4 linked regions of the Xenopus tropicalis genome follow. The protein of the gene in region 4 interacts with the protein of the main gene of each other region in a pairwise test. Links are inferred from orthologs where the notes say so. Each region holds a gene or a part of one and is shown on either strand. Other genes may lie near its edges.

Region 1 (5,039 bases), on a different chromosome or scaffold from region 4:
GTGATAGGGGGACACTGTGTATAGGGGGCTACTGTGATAGGGGGCTACTGTGATAGGGGGACACTGTGTATTGGGGGGCACTGTGTATTGGGGGGCTACTGTGTATAGGGGCACTGTGTATGGGGGGCTACTGTGTATGGGGCGGGCTGCTGTGTATGGGGTGGGCTACTGTGTATGGGGGGCTATTGTGTATGGGGGGCTACTGTGTATGGGGGTTACTGTGTATGGGCGGGCTACTGTGTATGGGGGGGCTGCTTTGTATGGGGGGGCTGCTGTGTATATGGGGCTACTGTGTATGGGGGTTACTGTGTATGGGGGGGCTACTGTGTATGGGCGGGCTGCTGTGTATGGGGGGGCTGCTGTGTATGGGGGGGCTACTGTGTATGGGGGGGCTACTGTGTATGGGGCGGGCTACTGTGTATGGGGCGGGCTACTGTGTATGGGGGGGCTACTGTGTATGGGGCGGGCTACTGTGTATGGGGCGGGCTACTGTGTATGGGGGGGAAAAACTGGTACTTAGTTATAACTCACTTATAACTGACTGCCTTCTCTCTATATTTGTATTTTAATGTAGGAGTTGCTGTATTGTTTTCCTTAGGTCGTTCAGTATGAGGGTATAGCACATTTGCGTCTGCTCCCGCCATTTGATCTATATAAAAGGGGTATTTTTTTAAAAATGGGGTGTGGTAATTGGGGCGTGACCACAAAAGGGGGCGTGGTCAAAAAAATTTGCCGCGCTGCGCGCGCCAAATCTTTTTGTCCCTCTTTTCATTTTTCAAATGTTGGGAGGTATGCCTTAGTGTGTTCATTAAATGTTTATCCTGTTCGGCCCGTCACCTAAAGTGTGTTTTGGATTTTGGCCCCCTGTGCAATTGAGTTTGACACCCCTGGCTTAGAGGGTCTTCACAAATTCTCAAGCAGAAAATGATGTTTGCCTGTCATTGAGGGTGATGCTACTGTTCTCATGCAGATTACACCGGCTTCAGAACATCCTTGCACTAATCTGTATTATTTACTCATCAACCTTATACTGTTACATTTATATCTTATATATACCGTATGCTGTGGGTGGGTCCCTGAAGTGACAGAAGCACAGAGCATGTGACCTGAGTCAGCAGAAAAGATGGGGCATTGATATTCCCTACTAATTGGCTGCAGTTGTCTTGGGCTGGTGCATAAGCTTAAAATATAATTTACAACATTTCTGCACTACTTAAGTTAAGCTTTAGTTGTCCTTTAAGTGCCAGGACTAGATATGTTCTATTGGTCCAACAGTACAAGTGTCATACCTGAGGTAAAGCTTACTATGGCTTACAAGCTTAAAAGATGTAATGCAAGGGTTCATAAACTAAAAGTCTGACTTTTAGGGGAACGCCTAAAAGTAAATTAGAGTTGCATTTGGGAAAAATATATATATACTCTTAGAAATATATCAGCGAGAGCTGACACCATCTCCTAGTGGTAAATATCCTGCGCACATCAGCGCTACCACACCACGTAAACAACAAGCGAGTCGCTGAGGAGGGAGGCGCTAGCAGCCCACGTGACTGTACCATCCGGGTTTTGCGGCGCAAGCATTCGACGTCACGTGACTCGGCGGCATCTTAGTGTCCAAAGGTAGCTACCTAACATGGCTTCCTTGGCCATTACGACTGATCCAAAGTGAGCTAAAGATTAGGAACCTCGACGAGTCCGGAGTGACTAACGTGCTCATGTCCAGGCTGAAGCAGGTATGTGCTGCGGGGCGGGCTCGCTACTGCAGTCGGGCTTCTCGGGCGGGCCTAGCGAGCTAGACGCTTCGTATTGAGGGAGGTATGATAACTGCTCAACATCGCATCTTTTACATTCATTTCCTGGAAGCCTTGGTTATTTATATATAATCAGGATTGTATTATATCTATATATATATGGATGGTTAATATAGGCTTGACACTAGTATTATTATCTTAATGAATGTGTTCGCAGGCTTCTTGCCACTTATGTACAGTATTTGTATTCATGGCCATTTGTTTTGGTTCTGTATGGTGAAATGTATTTGTACCTGATTAAAATGTAAACACAATTTCTCTCCATGAGCAGCTCGTATTAAGGGAATAACCATCATACATGAAGAGTGCTATTGATCTGGAATAGGTTCCCAGTTAGAAGAGACACAATCTCACAATTACATTTTCAACTTTAAGGGCAATAACCGATAAGGAATTTAGTTGTGCAGTTAAGTGATTTAACTTTTATATCTGCAATGATTCTCATTATCCACAAACGGAGGTAATTTGTAGGCATTTTGCCATCGCTGCAAACCATTGGGGACAAAATGCCACATCTGTCATTGTCCTTAAAGGGAATGTGTTCTTTGGATAATTTCTTGCACTTAAGCTACTTCCTGTTCCTGTGCTTCTTGTTTGGATCTTGTTTTGGATATTCATCAAGGGGCATTTAAAATGATAAATGTTGAGTTGGCAGTGCAGTTACATATCAAAACAAATCGTATCATTACTTTCATTTTGTAACTTATAGGTTCCTGTTCTAAGCTGTTTGGTTGTTACTGGCAGCTACACTTGTGCTGTTTAGTAACTGTATTTGTAAGTAAGCTCTCAGATATTTGAAAAGAAATACTTGCATTTGCATATCCTGGTTAGTTTCGAGTTCTTATTAAAGGACAAGGAAAGCCTGTTTTGCTGAGGTGTACCAAAATGTTAGGAACCCCCCGAGTTGATTAAATCACTAAGTTTTTATGCAGGCCATTGCTCCTTTTCGGTGGAAAATGTACCAGCCCATGGAAAAACTAAGGGGCCCATTCATTAAAGCACGAATTTTGGGTGGTGAAAAGCACGATTGGAAAAAATGTGGAGTAACCACAATAATTTCTGATGTTTGAAAATGTCAGTTTCTTTTCCCGGTCGTAAGAAAATATCGTGGTTGCGATCCGAAAGTCACAACATTTTTGGATCCAAACAATCGTAAATGGCGCGAAAACCTTTCTGGCTTTGAAACTTCAATGCATGATTTTGGAAGCCTTCCATAGGACTCAATGGCACTCTACAGATCCAACCTGGCCAAAAGATAGTCACTATACCAAAGCTTGAATGAATTCCGCAATGGTCGTAGTCTTTGCGAAAAATATGACTTTTTCATGGAAGTTAACGAAAAAGTATTGCAGTTTTAATGATATTATCGTGGTCATTATGAAAAGTTCTATAAATTAGAAAAAAAAAAAATTCTGAAAATAAAAATTTGTGCTTTCATAAATGGGCCCTTATGTGTTGGCCTAGTGTTTACTTACCTTGCAGTCATCGGCTCATTTTAGGCAGAGAGAAATACATCTGTTTGGAAATTAATAGTCTTGCCTTTACTAGTAATCTATAAAAAGAATATTAGTATTTATATTGCTATGCAACATGTGACATTTAAGATCTTTTCTCCAGGCCCTCAACTATGTCTAAATATTGGACAAAAAGCAGTTATACAAAAGCTTTGACATGTAGGTGAATAATGTTCTATAATTCATACAAATAGAGGAATGTGGTCATTTAAATAGCTTAAAGTGCCCCTGTCCCAGACCTTCAGCTTAAAGGAACAGTTCAGTGTAAAAATTCAACTGGGTTAAATGGATAAACTGCACAAAATAAAAAATATTTGCAATATAGTTAGGCAAAAAATGTAATCTATAAAGGCTGGAGTGGACAGATGTCAGCTCTCTAACCTCTTGGTTAGTCAGTGACTTTAGGGAAAGGGGGGGGGGGGGGGGGTTTGGCACTTGGGACATAACTGTTCAGTTAATTTGTGAGTATGCAGGTCGGATTAAAATGCAAACTAACTGAACAGTCATGTCCCACATCCCCCGCCCCCTTAAGTTACTGACTGCTAACAGCTTAGAAAGCTGTAAAGGAGGAAGTAGTGATCTGGCCATTATGTTGGACATCTGCCTGCTCCAGCCCTTATAGATTACATTTTTTGGCTAACTAACTTTATTTAAAACATTTTTTATTTTGCGCAGTCTATCTATTTTACCCAGTTTAATTTTTACACTGAACTGCTTTAAGGAGATATCCAGTTTAAATTTTACAAAGATAGACTGGCACCAAACTGGACCACAATCAAATATTGCTGCTTAATAATTTCATAAAAAGTTTCAACACCTTTTAACAGTGCTGGGGAGTTTTGTGCCTACATGGGGCACTTAGTCATAGGTTTAAACGTCTTTGTTTCAACTCGTATTACTTTTATATGAAAGAGGCAGCAATCGCATATATCTGTTACAGTATTTTTGAATTGTAGACACCAGCAGTTTCCCAACTCCTGAATTCCTCATTTATGATCCTTTGTATCTAAATTCTAGTGTGTTACTCTGTTAACCATCCTTATTCTCATAGACCACTTGCCCTTAGCTAAGAGTGTTGCTCAGCATATAGTTGATAAGTTCAGGAACATATTTCATATGCCTGCTAGTAGCATAGGGGCTTTTCGTTGCCTGCATGACATTTGGAAATGCAGTGAATGAAATGCTGTGCACAAGTATGGATGACTTCTGTGTTACTGTCTGATACCTGCAGCCATATGCCATATGTTGTCCCCAATATTGACTAACAGTTCTACTGTTTGAGCTGTTATGTGGTTAAGAAGTTCTGAAGGTGGCCATACACCTTACAATTATGATCTTTCCTGCAACCATTTGTCTCACCTGATTGACAAGACGACCGATATCCGACGCTCTGACATCGGTTGTGTCGCCAATGTGCCATACACGCACCGAATATCATACAAAACTATGTTTTGTTTAATATCAGTGCGTGTATGGCCACAATAAAGCTAATATTCTAATATTGTGAGCTAACATTGTTTGTTCTTGGCTTAAGTTAAGGTGGCTAAGATTTAAAGGACACCTATAGCATCATTAAAAAAAACCTAATCTTTTAGGCAATTATGAATAATAAATGGTGCCAGTTTCAATCTGGGCTAAAAATAATCATGATCTTTAAAAATGGCCCCTTTATTGGAGCTCTCCTAAAGATCTGCTATGGTCCCTGCCCATGTTTTAA
Region 2 (5,109 bases), on a different chromosome or scaffold from region 4:
GACCCCTTATTCAGAAAACCCCGGGTCCCGAGCATTCTGGATAACAGGTCCTATACATTTACTAGAGTCTAGCAGGCTAATGAGGGGATGGCAAAGTGTCAGCTGCAAATTGTCTGCATAGAGGCTTATATTATAATTCTTGTCTTTTTTTTTTTTTGCTGTACTAAAGATCTCCAAGGACAATATCAGAGGGGACAATGGGCAGCCCTGCTGCATCCCTTTATTAATAAAATAAAAGCCTTTAGACAGCTGGTTTCTTACTGCCATTTAAGGGGAAGCAAATTAAGCAAATACTCCAGGACCAAATGTTAAGGAAGTTAAAGGCTTTAGTGATTAAAAAAAATGCTGCAAAAAAGTCAATTTACATATTTTAAATGTTTACCAAACTCAAAATTTTGAGATTTATTGATTAAAAATTACTGCAAATTTGAAACAAAACTGGTGAGCTTCGCTTAAAGTAAATGGGAGGGACTTTTAACATGCAAGCTACTTTATAATTAGAGTTTTTTTGTTAAGAAATTGCATTTTTAAAAATGAATGCAATAAAGTGTTTTTTTATGGTGCACAAGGTTTCTTCATTTTGCAATCAACAATCAGTGTTTTAAATGTGAGTTTTACAATAATCTACTGGAAATTTGATAACTACAGCAAACTGGTAAGTGAAACCTTTACTTTTGTCTTTGCCCTGTTTAGTAAATAATAAACATATCTATTTCTTAAGATTATAATAGGCAAAAAGTAGGCTAATAAAACGCCTCATTCATTGAGTTAGTGTTGAATGAGGCCATTGTAATGCAACATTTGCACACACTGGCACATAAATATATGTAGCAAAAAAATCATTGAGCAGATTTATTTTCTAGTAACACTAAGGGCTTTGGCACAAGGGGTTAGTTGTGATCTGTGATGACAGTGAAGCTGTTGCCGCTCACCCAGTATCATTTACCATCCAAGTAAATTGAAAGCAGTCCAGGTTGTGGAGTTATTGATTGCTGCCACATATCGAATGTGAGCAAAGGTTTGGTTATCTGATAAGGAGTAAAGTTTTTTTTAGACAAGTCTTTGTTCATGACTGTGACCGTCTATGCACATAGACTTCCTGCCTCATAGTGTGCAGTCTATAGCGTACTAAAACAGCTTTTATAAACATGACTACCAAACCTCCCAACATTTGAAAAATGGAAAATGGGAAAAAAAGAAATGCCGCACGAAGCATGGCAAAATATTTTTGACTACACCCATTTTTGCGACCATACCTTCTAAATACCACTCCTATTTTACTAAATTTGGCAGGTTAGTAAAAGTTTGAACACATTTCTGGGGATTTGGGGTCTTGTTATATATATTACTACAGTTTTGCTAATGAAGGTGAAATTGACCTTTAAGCTGCAAGTCTCAATTCCCTCAAGAGACCTGTTTAGCTTATTAGTTACAATTGTATCTCAGTGCAGGTGTGGCTTGTTAACTTTCTGGGCTCTCTGCCAAAAGCCCACTTATTTAATTAAGTCTGAGAAACAATGGATCTAAGTGCAGGTGAAGCTTGTTAAGATTTCTGGGCTCTCTGCCAAAAGCTACTTTTTAATTAAGTTTGTTTTTTTAACTCAGTGCAGGAGATCAAGGGGAAAGAGGGACTTTTCAGTAACAATCTGGGACTGTGGGCTGAGCTGTTAAAGGAGGGACTGTCCTGCAAAAATAGGGACAGTTGGGAGGCCTGGACTACATTCATTAAAATGAGGTACATAAAAAGTTTACATGTTTACAATGATTAGATGTTTACATGATATTCCTCCGTGTTCATAGTACTAACTAACTCAAAGCTTGCAATTCTGCCACTTTTTAAACAGAACATCAATGGGTTGGGATCAAGGCAGTCCATTTGCCATTAGGAGTCACAGCACACAACCCCCTCTCAAGACTCAACTCCTTTTTAAACCATACATACAGCAAGAAAGAACAATATATTCAGTCCCTAATGAAATATGGGGAATGCTTGCTGTACTTACATATATTGGTAGGTAGAGCAGCCCCTATTTTTATTCTTTCTTCCATCCATTCAGTGTGTGCTTCTCTGACAGTCTTTGGCATCTACAGTTCACTTTACTCCATACTCCTACTAAAATACTCCCCTTACTCCCCATCCCTTCTTCATTCTATAAATTTTTCATTCTCCTGCCATAATGGTGCCCTTTGATTTCCCTTTTTCCCTTCACCCTTGGCTTTCAGGGCTGTCTAGCTGGCCACCCGAGTGGTGTTGCAAAGTAAACTGAAAAAACTTCAGATTCATTGTTTTTTTTGCCTATGTGTAATTTGCTGCTGAAAGCCTTAGAGATTGTATAGGTCCTCTTAATTCCTAAATAAGCATCCTCACCATCTTAAATTTGACACAGGTTGCAAAGTTTAAGGACCCCTCCATTGGGAACCATGGAAGCTGTAAGGCTGGAAAAATATTGCAAAACATTATTTGAGAAAAGAAAATCATTTATATGGGTTGATGGTCCCTTTGACCTAAAGGGTCTCCTGCAGCTGCACTGGCTGCAATATCCTATATATCCTACTATATCCTATTTTCCCACAAGATGGAGTAGTTGTCCACAAAAATATCATAAAACAGATAAGTCATTGTCCCTCCAATTAACTTATTTTTTGAAAATGGCTTTCTTTTCACAGTCAGTATTTTGTACGTGATTTCGACTTCCTTCATTTTTAATTTTCAGTTAGTTTAAAGACATTGGTGGAGTATGTCCTGCCTTTTTCAAGCCTGGAGTAAGGAAAGTCAATGTTTTTGACCCGCTAATATGCAATTTTGGCAACCTGTGTGTAAGATTTAGTGCAAAGTCTTTAGGATTTTATTACATTGCATATGTGCAAGTCTCCTCAAAGTCAGCACAGAATAAACCCATATTCCTCAGCATTTAACTTTTTTTAACCTCCCTGGCTATAGTTCAGGTTAGTGCTTAGCGTCAGTAACTTGGTTGCCCCCTTTAAATTATTTTGGTGCATGTTGCAAAAAAGATGGTTTAAGTTCAGGTTTGGTTTGTTTTATACTTGCTTATCACTAGCTAGGTTTTTCCAACTATAATGCACGCTGAACTACAAGTAACAAGAGAAGAGTGGAACAATGCACAGTTAGATAAAAGATCTACGTGTTGTTCTGTGAGATGTAAAATGTAAGATTCAGACCCAGACTTTAAAGTGAATCTAAAACCGAATGGAACTAGCAGGTGTTCAGGTTCTGGGTCATGTTTGGATTCTTTTTTTTTTTTTTTTTTTTTAAACTTAAATTGTATTAAAGACTCTTTTTTTTAAAGCGGACCTGTCACCCTAAGAAATAAGTCCAAATTATTTTCTATATTGTTAGTTGAGCAAAATAAACTTTACTTACTCTATATAAATAATATAAAGCTTGTTTCCTTCCGTCTTGGAATTACTCAATCAAAGCAAGCAGGCAGGCACCATTTTGTGGACACTGTTATTAAGGCAAGCTTTGTATCATGCCAAAATCTTGTTTATGTGATAGAATGGGGGGCCTGATGCCCAGGCCCACACACTGGCTACACAGTTAGATAAGGAGGAGGGAGGGGAGAAGTGAGATGTATATGTTATATGTCAAGTTTACTCTTTATTATTATTGCTAGGCAACTTTGGGGAGCCTTAATGAAAATCCACCCAAGTCTAGGACTGGCACAAATTGAGTTTATACATGTTTGTACAAACAGTGTGACCAAATGAATGGAGGTATTTCCCCTTGCTGCTTGTAGGGTCAGTTATTCTTTTCTTAAAATGCATTTATATCAATCCATACTCATGGAATGCTGAGAAATTTTACACTGTATAATACACCAGCACTCCATTTTTTGGTTTTATGCATTAGAGTGCTGGCACTATATGAACTGATATACTGTATATATATTGTATAGTTTCTTTCATATGTCACTATAGAGACCTGTTACATGGAGATCAGTTTATTGTAACAGAAAAAAATACAAAACATATCTAAACACATGAAGGAGTATAACGGAAATTCCACTCCAGCAGCATGAATGTAAAATGGATAAATCTCAATAGTACAGATAATTTTAATCATAAACATCCTTATATACTCCATATAGGACATGTGGCTATTTAAAGGAAAACTATACCCCCAGAATGATTACTTAACGAAGAGATAGTATAAATAATACTTACTGGCCTATTAAATTTTCTCACCATATTTCAATATATATATATATATATATATATATATATATATATATATATATATATATATATATATATAGCAAGACAATGAGCCGCACACACAGGGACTTTGTTAGAAAACAAAAAAATGTAATGAAAAAGATCTTGCTATACACATGGTTTTTGCAAGCACCCGTGGCATTTGATTATTATTAGGGTGTGCTCTGTTCTTTTTTGTATATATATATATATAATGAACAGAGAGGAGCACACCCTTCACTAAACCAAATGCCCTGGGAGGGTGCAGGTAAAACATAAAATATAAAGAACGGGTACTTCACACACAGAGACTTAATGTAAAAGAAAAAGTGTTTATTGAAAAAAAGCCAACGTTTCGAGCACAGTCTGTGCTCTTTCTCTATACGAAAAGGCAGGCACTTACGTGTAAGAAGAATACTTCGCCTGGGTGCAGTCAAGGAATATGCATAACCACCGATGAAGAAAATCTCGCACTTCTCAGGACTTATCATATCAGTAAAATTTTTTCACTGATATGATGATGAGTCTCCCGCAATAAAATATTTTACTGATATGATAAGCCCTGAGGAAAAAGTTCCCCGTATGACTGGTAGTAAGTAACTCAAAGACTGCTGTTTTTCAGTTGTACTCTTGTGCATGGATTAATTCATATAACTGCTCCCAATCAACAAGTGCAGTCTGCAAAAATGGTAACTTGAAAGAAGGGCTGGCTGTATTTGGCAAATTGTTCAGGATGATGTGTTTGACCAGGGAGGAAAGCTCTTTAGAGTTGTTGATCACAGAAAAGGGAAAATACAATGAAAGGACAAGTTACTTTTAAAGATCACATATGTTTTAATAATGGTAGTACAGTACTGTGTTATCTAAACTCTTACACATTGACCATTGTTCAGG
Region 3 (5,101 bases), on a different chromosome or scaffold from region 4:
ACAATGTTTTATGCCTCTCCACAGCAAATCACTTAATTTTAAGGTGAAAATACAGCTTACTTTAGAAATCAAAGTTTCCCCCATATCTTGTGATCACAGGCACTATCTTAGGAAGGTCAGCATCACCATTATTGCCTCATATGCACAAGAATGAGGAATTTGTAATTGTGCAACAGAAACACATGTAAAAGGTGCAGATCCTGGTTAAAAGGGTATAGATTTTTGTTTTAGATGGAACAATACAGCTATGTACAGTGTTCTTTTCTGCATCTTTTTATTAATTTATAGTGATATTCAAACTTTTAGCAAAGACATGCATTAAAGGAGAAGGAAAGTCATTTTGGCATTTTACTGCCAATAGATTTGCCACATTAGTGCCACCTAGAACACTATATTTATTCGGCAGCAAGCTTTATCATTCCTGAGTAAAGAGTCCTAGAAGCTTTCTCTGATTGCAGCTGCCATTTTAGCTTAGTGTTCATAGCTTCCTCCTTGCAGTCTAGCCGTTATAGCTCAGATCACGCATTCCTTTACGTAAACCTTTCCGATAAAGCTTACTTAGTTTTTACCTTTCCTTCTCCTTTAAATGCAAAATGTTTTACAGTACTGTATGAGTTTAAAGTTGTTTAGTAACTGCTAAAACCTGTGAAAATAACACTTTTGCTACCTGGCAGAAAAAAAGCCTAAAATAAAATATTGATGTTCAAGCACATAGGCTGCATTTATTCCAGAGAGCACACAAGGTCTACACAAGTGGCTGGGTATCTTGTCTGCAGGAATACTTAGGGCAGTGGCACACGGGGAGATTAGTCGCCCCACCACAAACCTTCATAACTGTGGGCAACAAATCTCTCCGCAATGCCATCCCACCGGCAACAATGTAAATCGCCGGTGGGATGGCATATGCGTTGCTAAGATTCGGGAAATCATGGGATGGCATTGCGTGGAGATTAGTTGCCTGTGGTAATGAAGATTTGCCATGGGGCGATTAATCTTCCCTGTGCCATTGGCCTTAGCCTCAGCAAAATGTAACTGACCTTTGATATTTGTGCCTTTTGCACTGGAATAAATCATTGTTTGAAAATTACCGCCATTATAATTGTGACATCATGGAGGCAAGAAATGGGCAGAAAGTGGGCATGACAACCGCCATATAGCTGCTTGTCATTAAGAGTGCGTCAGAAAGCTTAAAAATGCTTGTTGTGGCAGAAACTTCGGGGGCAGAGACTCTGGCGATAGAAGATATTGGGTGCAAAGTTCTTTTGTGGTTTGCTCCCTGGCAGGAAACAATCTCCAAGCAGATAAAACAAATGAATTGCACTTGGGTCAAATAACGTATTTATCTTTGACCCCTGGCACAAACAGGAGTTCAAGCAATCAAAAATAAATATGAATTGCTTTAGGTAAAATACTGGAAGAGGAGGTCGTGGTGCCGGCTCGTACTGCTGCTAAACACCAGTTTCTATTCTCTGCTCCCTGGCACAAGTCAGAGCTGTGGGCAGAGCATTCCGCCATATGCCTGCATTAGAACTCTCCCGCCCCCTACTGGCGCACCTCGCGTTACTACCGATGTATAAGTGAAAATCGCGACGTCGGAATCTCGCGAGATTATGACGCAATTGTGAGCGCGTCCGATAGAAGCCAAGGAGCGGGACATATAAACAGCTATACGGAAGTGAGTGTCGTAAAATCTGGCCTTTTGCAGGTATGCCAAGCATTTATTCCTTATTGTATTTGGTAAGAGATGTCTGTGTTTTCTTTGTCCTCACTGCTCCGTTCTGGTAAGACTGGAATGAGTGGTTGTGCTGTATGGCTTTTCCTTAGTAGGTATTAAGGTATTGATGCCAAAGATTTCCCAAGTCTTACCAAGTAATAATAACTACCGCACGTTTGTTTGCATTACTCATAATGATGCTTTATATCAGAAACTGGTAAATGGCGGTTGTTGTGACTGGGGGAAGCTGTTGGTGACCTCCTGCCCTGCCTTCCGAAAAGCCTGCACTTTGTTGTGTATCCCATTGACGGCAATAATGGACTGCCACAGTTGTTTCTCTGTTCACACTAAACCACCACAACATTGACCTTAAGGTGGCCATACATGCACCAATATTATTGTACGAAACAAGGTTCCATATTGTATTCCGTGTGTGTATAGGTGGTCTTACACAGGCAGCTTTCTGCTGCCAATTTGGGCCCGTCAGAACGATTTGGCAGCTTATCTGCCCATTAGTGATGTGCGGGCCGACCCAGTGCCCACAAGTTAACCCTCAGGTCGGGCAGCTTCGGGTCGACCCCACCCACAAACAAAAAGGATTTGCTACTTTAAGAACAGTTGGAGGGCCATAATCTTTATATACCTACACTGCATTATAACAAAATCAGCAATACAACATTTTATGTTTAATAGCTAAACCGCTTATGTTTTATTGCAGGAAGTAGAAGAAAATAACTATGATGGAAGTACTGCCTATTATCTGGCCCTGGAGATCCAAGTAAATGGCATGTCCATGAAGGGGAATTCTTTCCCCTATGTCTCACCCGCTAACAGCTTCATACTTCTTCAGACATGCAGGGAATCATTCTGTTCCTCAATGGGCTTGGCTGGACCCTGGACATGTTGTTCCTGTTGCTGGACTTAAATTACATGCTTGTTTCCTCTGTTGTATCAGTTTTGTGTTGGACCATTTGCTTTATCTTTAACCTTCCCTGGACCCTGACCAATGGCATTCTTCAGTTGTGGGAAGCTGTATTGGGATTTGTGCTTATGGTTGGTGATTCTTCCTGCAGCCTTGCACTGGGCACAGTGCAGACATTAGTGGATGCTTTATGGGGATGCCTTGCTGGTTTAGACAGTTTGAAGTTGATATGGAACTTGTTGTGCCACCTACTATTCCGCAGTAGGGAGCTGATCCATCGAGGGCTGCTGAATATCACATTCTCTGTACAGACTTTTCACAGGAATTTCTGGGAAGCATTAAGTATCACTGGAGGTTTGGCAGCTTACTTGGTTAATAGCCTGGTAAACATATGTCTTATTGCCATCCAAAACATTTTATCAGCTGCAGTGGCTCTATGGCTTTCCATGGTCAATGTCATCTTAATGGGAGCAGAACTAATGTTTATGCTGCTGTCTCAGTTTTCCAACAGTGCTGTGGCAGTGGCAATTCTCTTGTGGACGCCTTGTCAACTGATTTTAGATGGCTTTGCATCACTTAGTAGGGGAGTAGGAATAATATTTTATCAACACCTGTACAAGATTCTTATATTTCTGCTTCTCGCCATTATTTGCAGAATCATTTTTAGACCTTCCCCTGCTGTACGCCAATTTCAGTTGAAAGTAATTCAGATATACCGCATGGCCCTTGTGCTTGCCTGGTCACTGCTGCATTGTGAGGTTTTGAGAAGGGTTATTGCAAAAAGTGCTCAGATAATACGAATGTTTAGAATATATGGAGCAACCCTGGTCAGAGGATGGAACTTGAGAAGAACCAGGATACAAAATCCACCTGCTAGGCCTGCCACTGTGCAGAATCCAGCACGAATAAGGGAGCGGAACCAAGTTCCCATGAGAGAGCAAAATCCGCCTTTGAGACCTATTCAGAGCACAGTTCCTAACAGGGTACAGAACACACAACCTGCAACACACATTCCTCAAGCCAGCTCAGCATTCACAAAGAGAGGAGAGCCCTCGCAAGATCCATGGAAGTTACTGAAGCAGCAGGAAGAGAGCAAAAAATGTGTTATTTGCCAAGATGAAAATAAAACTGTGCTCCTTTTGCCTTGCCGCCACCTATGCCTCTGTGCCTCCTGCACAGAGATCCTTCTGCAGCAGCCTGTCCATCAGCGCAACTGCCCACTGTGTAGACAGATGATTCTGCAAACTCTAAATGTCTATATCTGACCATCCTGCAATGAGTTATCACTATGCTGGACACTGACTTGGATTACACTGACCTAAAGGATTTAAATAGGTTGAGAAAATGTGAAAAATTAAATATTTTGAAATGTTTACCAGGACTGCCTTCTTTTAAGCCACTGCAGGACATCTGTTATGGCAATTCCAAAGATGCACAAATGCATGAACTTCCTTACTTTCAACGTGCCTGCTGAGTTTTTAAATAGTTCATTGTTCTATAACTTATTTTTTGGACAATGGTGGCATATAATGTCAGTAAATATTAATGAATGTATGATGTGATCGCGCACAACTTAATGATTGTATGATGTGGTAGCGCACAACAGTGTGTCTCTGACGTTACTGATTACCTCGGTGTAACACATTTCTTGCTATGGGACCATAAACTGTATTATCTTCATTCACTGTTTAACAAAAGTTGTTAAATATCATTTCAATGTATATGTTGAATTTCCATGAAGATAAAAATGCTCTTTATTATCAGGAAACATTTGATGAGAACTACTGTATGTTTTGGTTTCCAGTTTTGCCATGGGGAAAATATATAGAGTGTGAGGTTGTCTGTGGGTGGTAAGGGCAAAACCTAAATGTCTAATTCAGTTATGTCAGAAGCAAAGATATTTTAGGACCAATACACCTTTGCAGCATAAAGCACAAATGGCAGACAATGTTTCACTTTGTTAGTAATGACATCCCGGTGTCTGACAAATACAATTACATGCATTCTATAAAGACTCTGAAAGTAATGGTCTTAAAAGTACCACATTCCGTTATAAGCATCTCTATAATTATTTCTTCCCACTTAGACTACGTGCTTTCTTTGCTTCCATCAAGGTTATTGCTAAATGTTAAAGGCTAACCGATTAAGTAGCCAAAATGTCTCTTTGTACAGCTGCTGGATTTAGGGGAATGGTTTTAGTAAATTTTATTCTCAATACTATACTTGTGCACTTAGCAGTCAGGCAATGCCAAGTCTAATGCTATTTAATGGGAAAACAGGCAATACATTAGTGCCTGCCATTAGGGGAATAATTTGCAGGGTAAAGAAAGGATAGATGTGCAGGTAAAGATAAAGGAATTGGTTTCATGCTCATGTTTATAGGTTAAACTGCATACTTTTGCCTGAAGGTGCTTTTATGTCACTATGTCCCTTCTTTGAGGGAAAAACAACTTCTGCTTTAAAGC
Region 4 (4,974 bases):
GTTAGGCACCCCCAAGTGACTTGAATCGCTTACCTTTTCCCCCGGGCTGGTGCCCCTGTTAGGAGAGAACAGCACCAGCCCGGGGTACCGGCAGCGCTTCCTCCTTCCTGTATCGCTCGCACGCGCATGCGCAGTAGAGTGAAAAGCTGAACTTTAACATAGAAGTCGTCTTTTCACTCTACTGCTCATGCGCCTATTGTGTAGTCACAGCGAAACGAAGCAGGAAGCGCTCCAGGTACCCCGGGCTGGTGCTGTTTCCTCCTAACAGGGGCACCAGCCCGGGTACAAGGTAAGCGATTAAAGTCACTTGGGGGTCCCAACATTTTAGCCTTTCCTTCTCCTTTAAAGAAAGAAAGGTAAAAAAACTAAGGCAACAGGGTAGAAGAGTCGCATGTTATGTATGGGATATTGGGATATAATGTTATTGCACATGCATGTCACTAATTTGCGCATCCACATCTACTCAGCAGCACATATCAGAAGATGATGCAAATGATAACGCTTTATAGAGGATTATTGCATAAGCATGCTGCCACTTTGTGAAGCTTAGGGCCCTATAAATAAGACCACATCCTCATTGCCATACACAGCACCCTTTAGACTTAAGAAGCACTGCACAACTGAAAATGATTATGAACACTAAACAAACATCTGATATTTCAGTAAGATCACTGACGTTAATAGATTATATGCATTTAAATAACCCCAGATATGCTAATAAGATCACTGCAGTAAATGGTTTCAAAGAACTGCATTAGACCCTCAGACATGCCAGAAAGATCACTTCAGAAAATGGATTCGAAAAACTGCCTTAAACTCAGACATGCCAGTAATATAATCGCAGAAAATGTAACACTAAATTAACCACAGATACGTCATTAAGATCTCAGCAGAAAACAGGTTAAAAAAACTGAGGACTGAGGTATCTATCCTGACTGCTTCCAAAGGGGTGCCAAGCTGACCAGGTGCATTTACCCTGCCCAGACTCTAAAGGAGGTGGGATAAACAGCTGTTCTGTCCTCAGAGTATTACTATCGTATACCATCTGTTGGTGAGTATTTGATCTAACCCTGCATTGCTACTTGTCTTTGACAATAAATCTGTGCTATAGTTTAACTGCAAGAACCTGCGTCTATCTTTACTAAATTGCATTGCAGACAGCTACAGTGAGTTGTAGTTATACTACACCCTAGCTCTGCTGGTCACTTCCATCTAGCAAAGGCCCATCCTGTTTAAGAGAGTCACATGTAGCCCATGCTCTAATACCTATACTAGCCTGGGTTTGACTATTTTATAGCCAAATAGCGGCTACATAAATTATCCCTGTCAGAAATGATTGAGTTACACTGACCTATTTCCTTTTGACTGAAGCAGTCATTAAGCAACAACTCTTCTTCTGTGCAGTGACTAAACCTAACAGCGCTCTAAAGCTGGCCATACACGCACCGATACTAACGTACGAAACGAGGTTTCGTACGATATTCGGTGCGTGTATGGCATGTCGGCATGTCAACCGATATCGCAGGAAGCTGCTGATATCGGACAACTCGCCGATCGGCCAGGTTAGAAAATTTTGATCGGGCACCATAGAAGGCGCCTGAGCAAAATCTGCGGTCAGGGCTGAATCGGCAGAAGGAGGTAGAAATCCTATTGTTTCTACCTCCTTATCTGCTGTTTCAGCCCTGACTGTGTGTGGCGGATCTGACGATGTTTTGTGCGACCATCATCCTCATATCGCCACGTGTATGGCCAGCTTAACACAAGCTCAGGTTGCAGCGAAACAATCACTACAAGTCCATGTCCTGCACACACAGACTATATTTGCCTTTAATGCCGCACTGCGCATGCCCAGAAGGACAAGCGCTGAGCCAGTGCGCCTGCGCAGCTTTACTCTCACAAGGGCGCAGGCAGTTCCTTGTAGATGACGTAGAGTCACGTGAGCGGTAGCGTCGCCCAAGAGGGAGGGGGTGGGTTTCCATCATGGCGTCAATGCAGGTGAGTGTTATTAGAGTTTTAAGCGGAGCGACCCGGATCTTCGCGGCTGGCAGCGGAATATTACCGGGAGTGGGAAGTGGGCTCTATGGAGAGCACTGCCAGCCGTGGTTTGTGGGTTTGTTTCTGCTTCTCGTTACTCCTGACATTCTTTTCTGGCTTCCCTATCTGTGTCCTCTGCAATTACCTGCCAGCTTCAGGGAACCTTCCGCTCAGAACGGCTCCCCTTGTCTCCGTGGGGATGCGGCTTGGCAGCTCACCTGTATAGCTGGTGTGGGAGGTGCGACGCTCGGTGTGCCAGCCTGCTAACTTTACACCCCCCCTTCCTATCGATAGCCTTGCCTGCCGTAGCTTCTGGGAATTGTAGTTTGATAATAGCTGGAGACCCATAGGCTTGACAGCTCATTGGGAACATTACATATTCTCCTCTGTACCTTCAACGTTCTGTGCGGTGGGTCAGGGCTTCTATAAGTACTTTATTTTATAGCTGAATCTGGGGCAGGAACTGGCTGCTATTATGTGTAGGGCAGGGATCAGCCAGCATATTCCATTTTATTGTGTGGGATATGAATCACCCAGCATGTTCCATTTTATTGTGTAGGGTAGGAAATGCCTGGTTATACTGCATCCCCTTCCCCCTGTGTAGGACATTAAGTCCCTGTTATGTTCCAGTTCTTTTACTTGGGCAGTAATTATCCAGTTTATTCAAATCCTTTCCAAAAAGACAGAACAAGCCGGCATTTTCCCTTTACTCCTGTGTATCATTGGGATTGTTATTTTACTTCCTCTTTATACTTTGTGCAAAAATTGACTTTGTTTTTCACTTACCTTGTTTTCTCCATGTAGGGCCATAAAATAAATATTATGGTTGTTTGACATTTATTAGACATGATCTGTCCTGTATTTTGATTCTTACACTGATTTGTGGGATTATCAGTACGTGTATGCAGCCCTGACTGGTATCTATGTATCATGGCTATCAACTGGTTCTTTCATCGGAGGTTGGAAAGTTTCATATGCCGATGCATCAAGTTGGCCGGTGTATGGTGCATAGATGAAGAGCCAGAGTTCCTCTTAACTTACTGATGTTCCGAGCAGAGGAAGAGAAAGGTAGCAGTTACATCTATGACCCCCTTATACAGCTATCTGACTGTTTGGCTGATATTTTGGATACCATCTTAATAATGTAGAGAAGAGCTCTATGGACAGAATAACTTTAGTGAATCTATTAATGTCTGTTACAAGGCCCCTGTGTGCTGTTTATCACATATTACGTTCTGTAATAGACATAAATAAATTCATTAAGCAGTTATTGTGCCTGTTGTGATCTCCTCTTCATTATTAAGATTATGTGAATAAACGGCTCCACCTTTTGGGGATCGATGCGCCAAGCCTGCAAAGCAGTAAGGCTTGAGCGTCTGAGCGCCTATTGTTTGATTCATTTGGATACCATATTGGATTGACCTGTGAGACTGTTCACTGCAGTAGTTATGGTAACAAAATATTTAGAATTGCTAAGAACCTCATTGCGTTATAGTCAATTGAAAATTCCATGGGTTTGAAACACCCTGGATAGTCAAGTGGCAGCTCATACACTTGGAAATTATATACTTGACAGTCAGTTGGAATAGTCTGTTCTAGTTGGAAGGAGACATTACCTGTTTACCCTTATTATTAAATTATTTGGAAGCTTAGTCATTGATAAACCTGGTACATTATCCATATAATTATTTAAGGTTGGTGTTTAATACCGCTTTAATGCAAATTACCTTTCTTGTCATATTGACTTCTTGATAATGTCATTTATTTGATCATATTCTTTCTATATCAAGTTTAATTAATGATCTCTTTTGATCTCAAGGATACTACTTACTTGTATCTAAAGTAAGTTTGTGCATTGATCTGTGTACCTTTCAATATAGAAAGTATCTTTAACAGTTAAAATGAATTAAAACAATATATTCTTTGTAGTTTATATTACATTATAATTTTCACTATAGTTACCCCTTCAGCTCAGGTGCCATATATTATAAGGAAAAGGGCATCTGATAAAACAGTGATCAGTACTTTATATGTCCCTTTTAATAAATGTTTCCTGCCGAACAGTGTTGTAATGGTAGAGGTTGTGCTGAAGGCTCTTGGTAAATGACAGAACTAGCATACAGGCTTTTCCTCCTCCGGGCCCCAAACACAGGTGATTTTCCTGATCCTTTTATGTGGGAGTTAATGCTTTTACTTTTTCAAGGTTTTGAGTTAAATAAAGTTAGTCATGTAGGTAGAATATGTTGTAAGTATCTTGTAGTGTAAATAAAAAATGTTTATTGTGATGTGCAGAATTTGGCTTAAAGCCGAATAGACATGTTTCAACCAACAAGAGGGCCAGTCAGGACCAGTGTCTAGAAAAGATAACCCAGCTGATTTCCCGGGACACTATGCTTTGTATAGTTTGTATGCTTCTGGCCAGTACACCAAACCTTTCTTGGTTCTTAAAAGGAGATTATCCACTTACAATATTGGTACGGTAGGCACTTAGCCTTTGTTAATAAACATCACAGTAACTAGATTTAGAAAAGCAAGAGCAACATAACTACAAAATAAAAATGTAAAAATTGAAACATATAAGACTTGATATGCTCTAAATATTGTAGCCATTAGAGTAAACACACAGTGCCACCACCCAGCCTTTAAAGAGAAGGATTTTTGAAGGTCTGTAATTTTATTTAATCACCTCTTACCTGTGTTACAAAGGCATAGTATGTAAGTAGTATTGGTACACAGCACTTAAATGGATGTATTAATGGAAGAATTGGCTTCTATTTACTTCAAGGATGTCTGACAAGTAGCTGTGTTTAAGCAACAACTACCAGGAGACCATCGCAACACAACAGAAAGGACAACTTACATATTGTTTGGGTTATGGAATGTTAAGTCACATATAGCAGGACACCGGTTTTTGACCTGTCCTTGCATTCCACAAAAGGG

The links.
Region 1: the proteins of ube2w (region 4) and rnf111 interact in a two-hybrid assay, tested with the Homo sapiens proteins (2 studies listed by BioGRID and IntAct). The link is inferred for Xenopus tropicalis from reciprocal best matches to the Homo sapiens genes UBE2W and RNF111.
Region 2: the proteins of ube2w (region 4) and pstpip1 interact in binary tests that used the Homo sapiens proteins (3 or more experiments, as listed by UniProt). The two-hybrid records come from large-scale screens. The link is inferred for Xenopus tropicalis from reciprocal best matches to the Homo sapiens genes UBE2W and PSTPIP1.
Region 3: the proteins of ube2w (region 4) and rnf26 interact in a two-hybrid assay, tested with the Homo sapiens proteins (2 studies listed by BioGRID and IntAct). The link is inferred for Xenopus tropicalis from reciprocal best matches to the Homo sapiens genes UBE2W and RNF26.

The regions. Positions count from the first base shown.
Region 1 is NC_030679.2:99,170,528-99,175,566, forward strand, and holds the start of rnf111 (E3 ubiquitin-protein ligase arkadia), read left to right. Parts: upstream 1-1,567; 5' UTR 1,568-1,730; exon of another isoform or gene 1,731-1,812; intron 1,813-5,039. UniProt on the Homo sapiens protein: E3 ubiquitin-protein ligase. Required for mesoderm patterning during embryonic development. Acts as an enhancer of the transcriptional responses of the SMAD2/SMAD3 effectors, which are activated downstream of BMP.
Region 2 is NC_030679.2:90,439,637-90,444,745, forward strand, and holds the start of pstpip1 (proline-serine-threonine phosphatase-interacting protein 1), read left to right. Parts: upstream 1-1,637; 5' UTR 1,638-1,735; intron 1,736-5,109. UniProt on the Homo sapiens protein: Involved in regulation of the actin cytoskeleton. May regulate WAS actin-bundling activity. Bridges the interaction between ABL1 and PTPN18 leading to ABL1 dephosphorylation.
Region 3 is NC_030683.2:80,169,648-80,174,748, reverse strand, and holds rnf26 (RING finger protein 26), read left to right. Parts: upstream 1-1,629; 5' UTR 1,630-1,705; intron 1,706-2,432; 5' UTR 2,433-2,566; coding exon 2,567-3,901; 3' UTR 3,902-4,011; downstream 4,012-5,101. UniProt on the Homo sapiens protein: E3 ubiquitin-protein ligase that plays a key role in endosome organization by retaining vesicles in the perinuclear cloud.
Region 4 is NC_030682.2:121,373,461-121,378,434, reverse strand, and holds the start of ube2w (ubiquitin-conjugating enzyme E2 W), read left to right. Parts: upstream 1-1,937; 5' UTR 1,938-1,980; coding exon 1,981-1,995; intron 1,996-2,032; exon of another isoform or gene 2,033-2,080; coding exon of another isoform or gene 2,081-2,110; intron 2,111-2,895; exon of another isoform or gene 2,896-3,102; intron 3,103-4,974. UniProt on the Homo sapiens protein: Accepts ubiquitin from the E1 complex and catalyzes its covalent attachment to other proteins.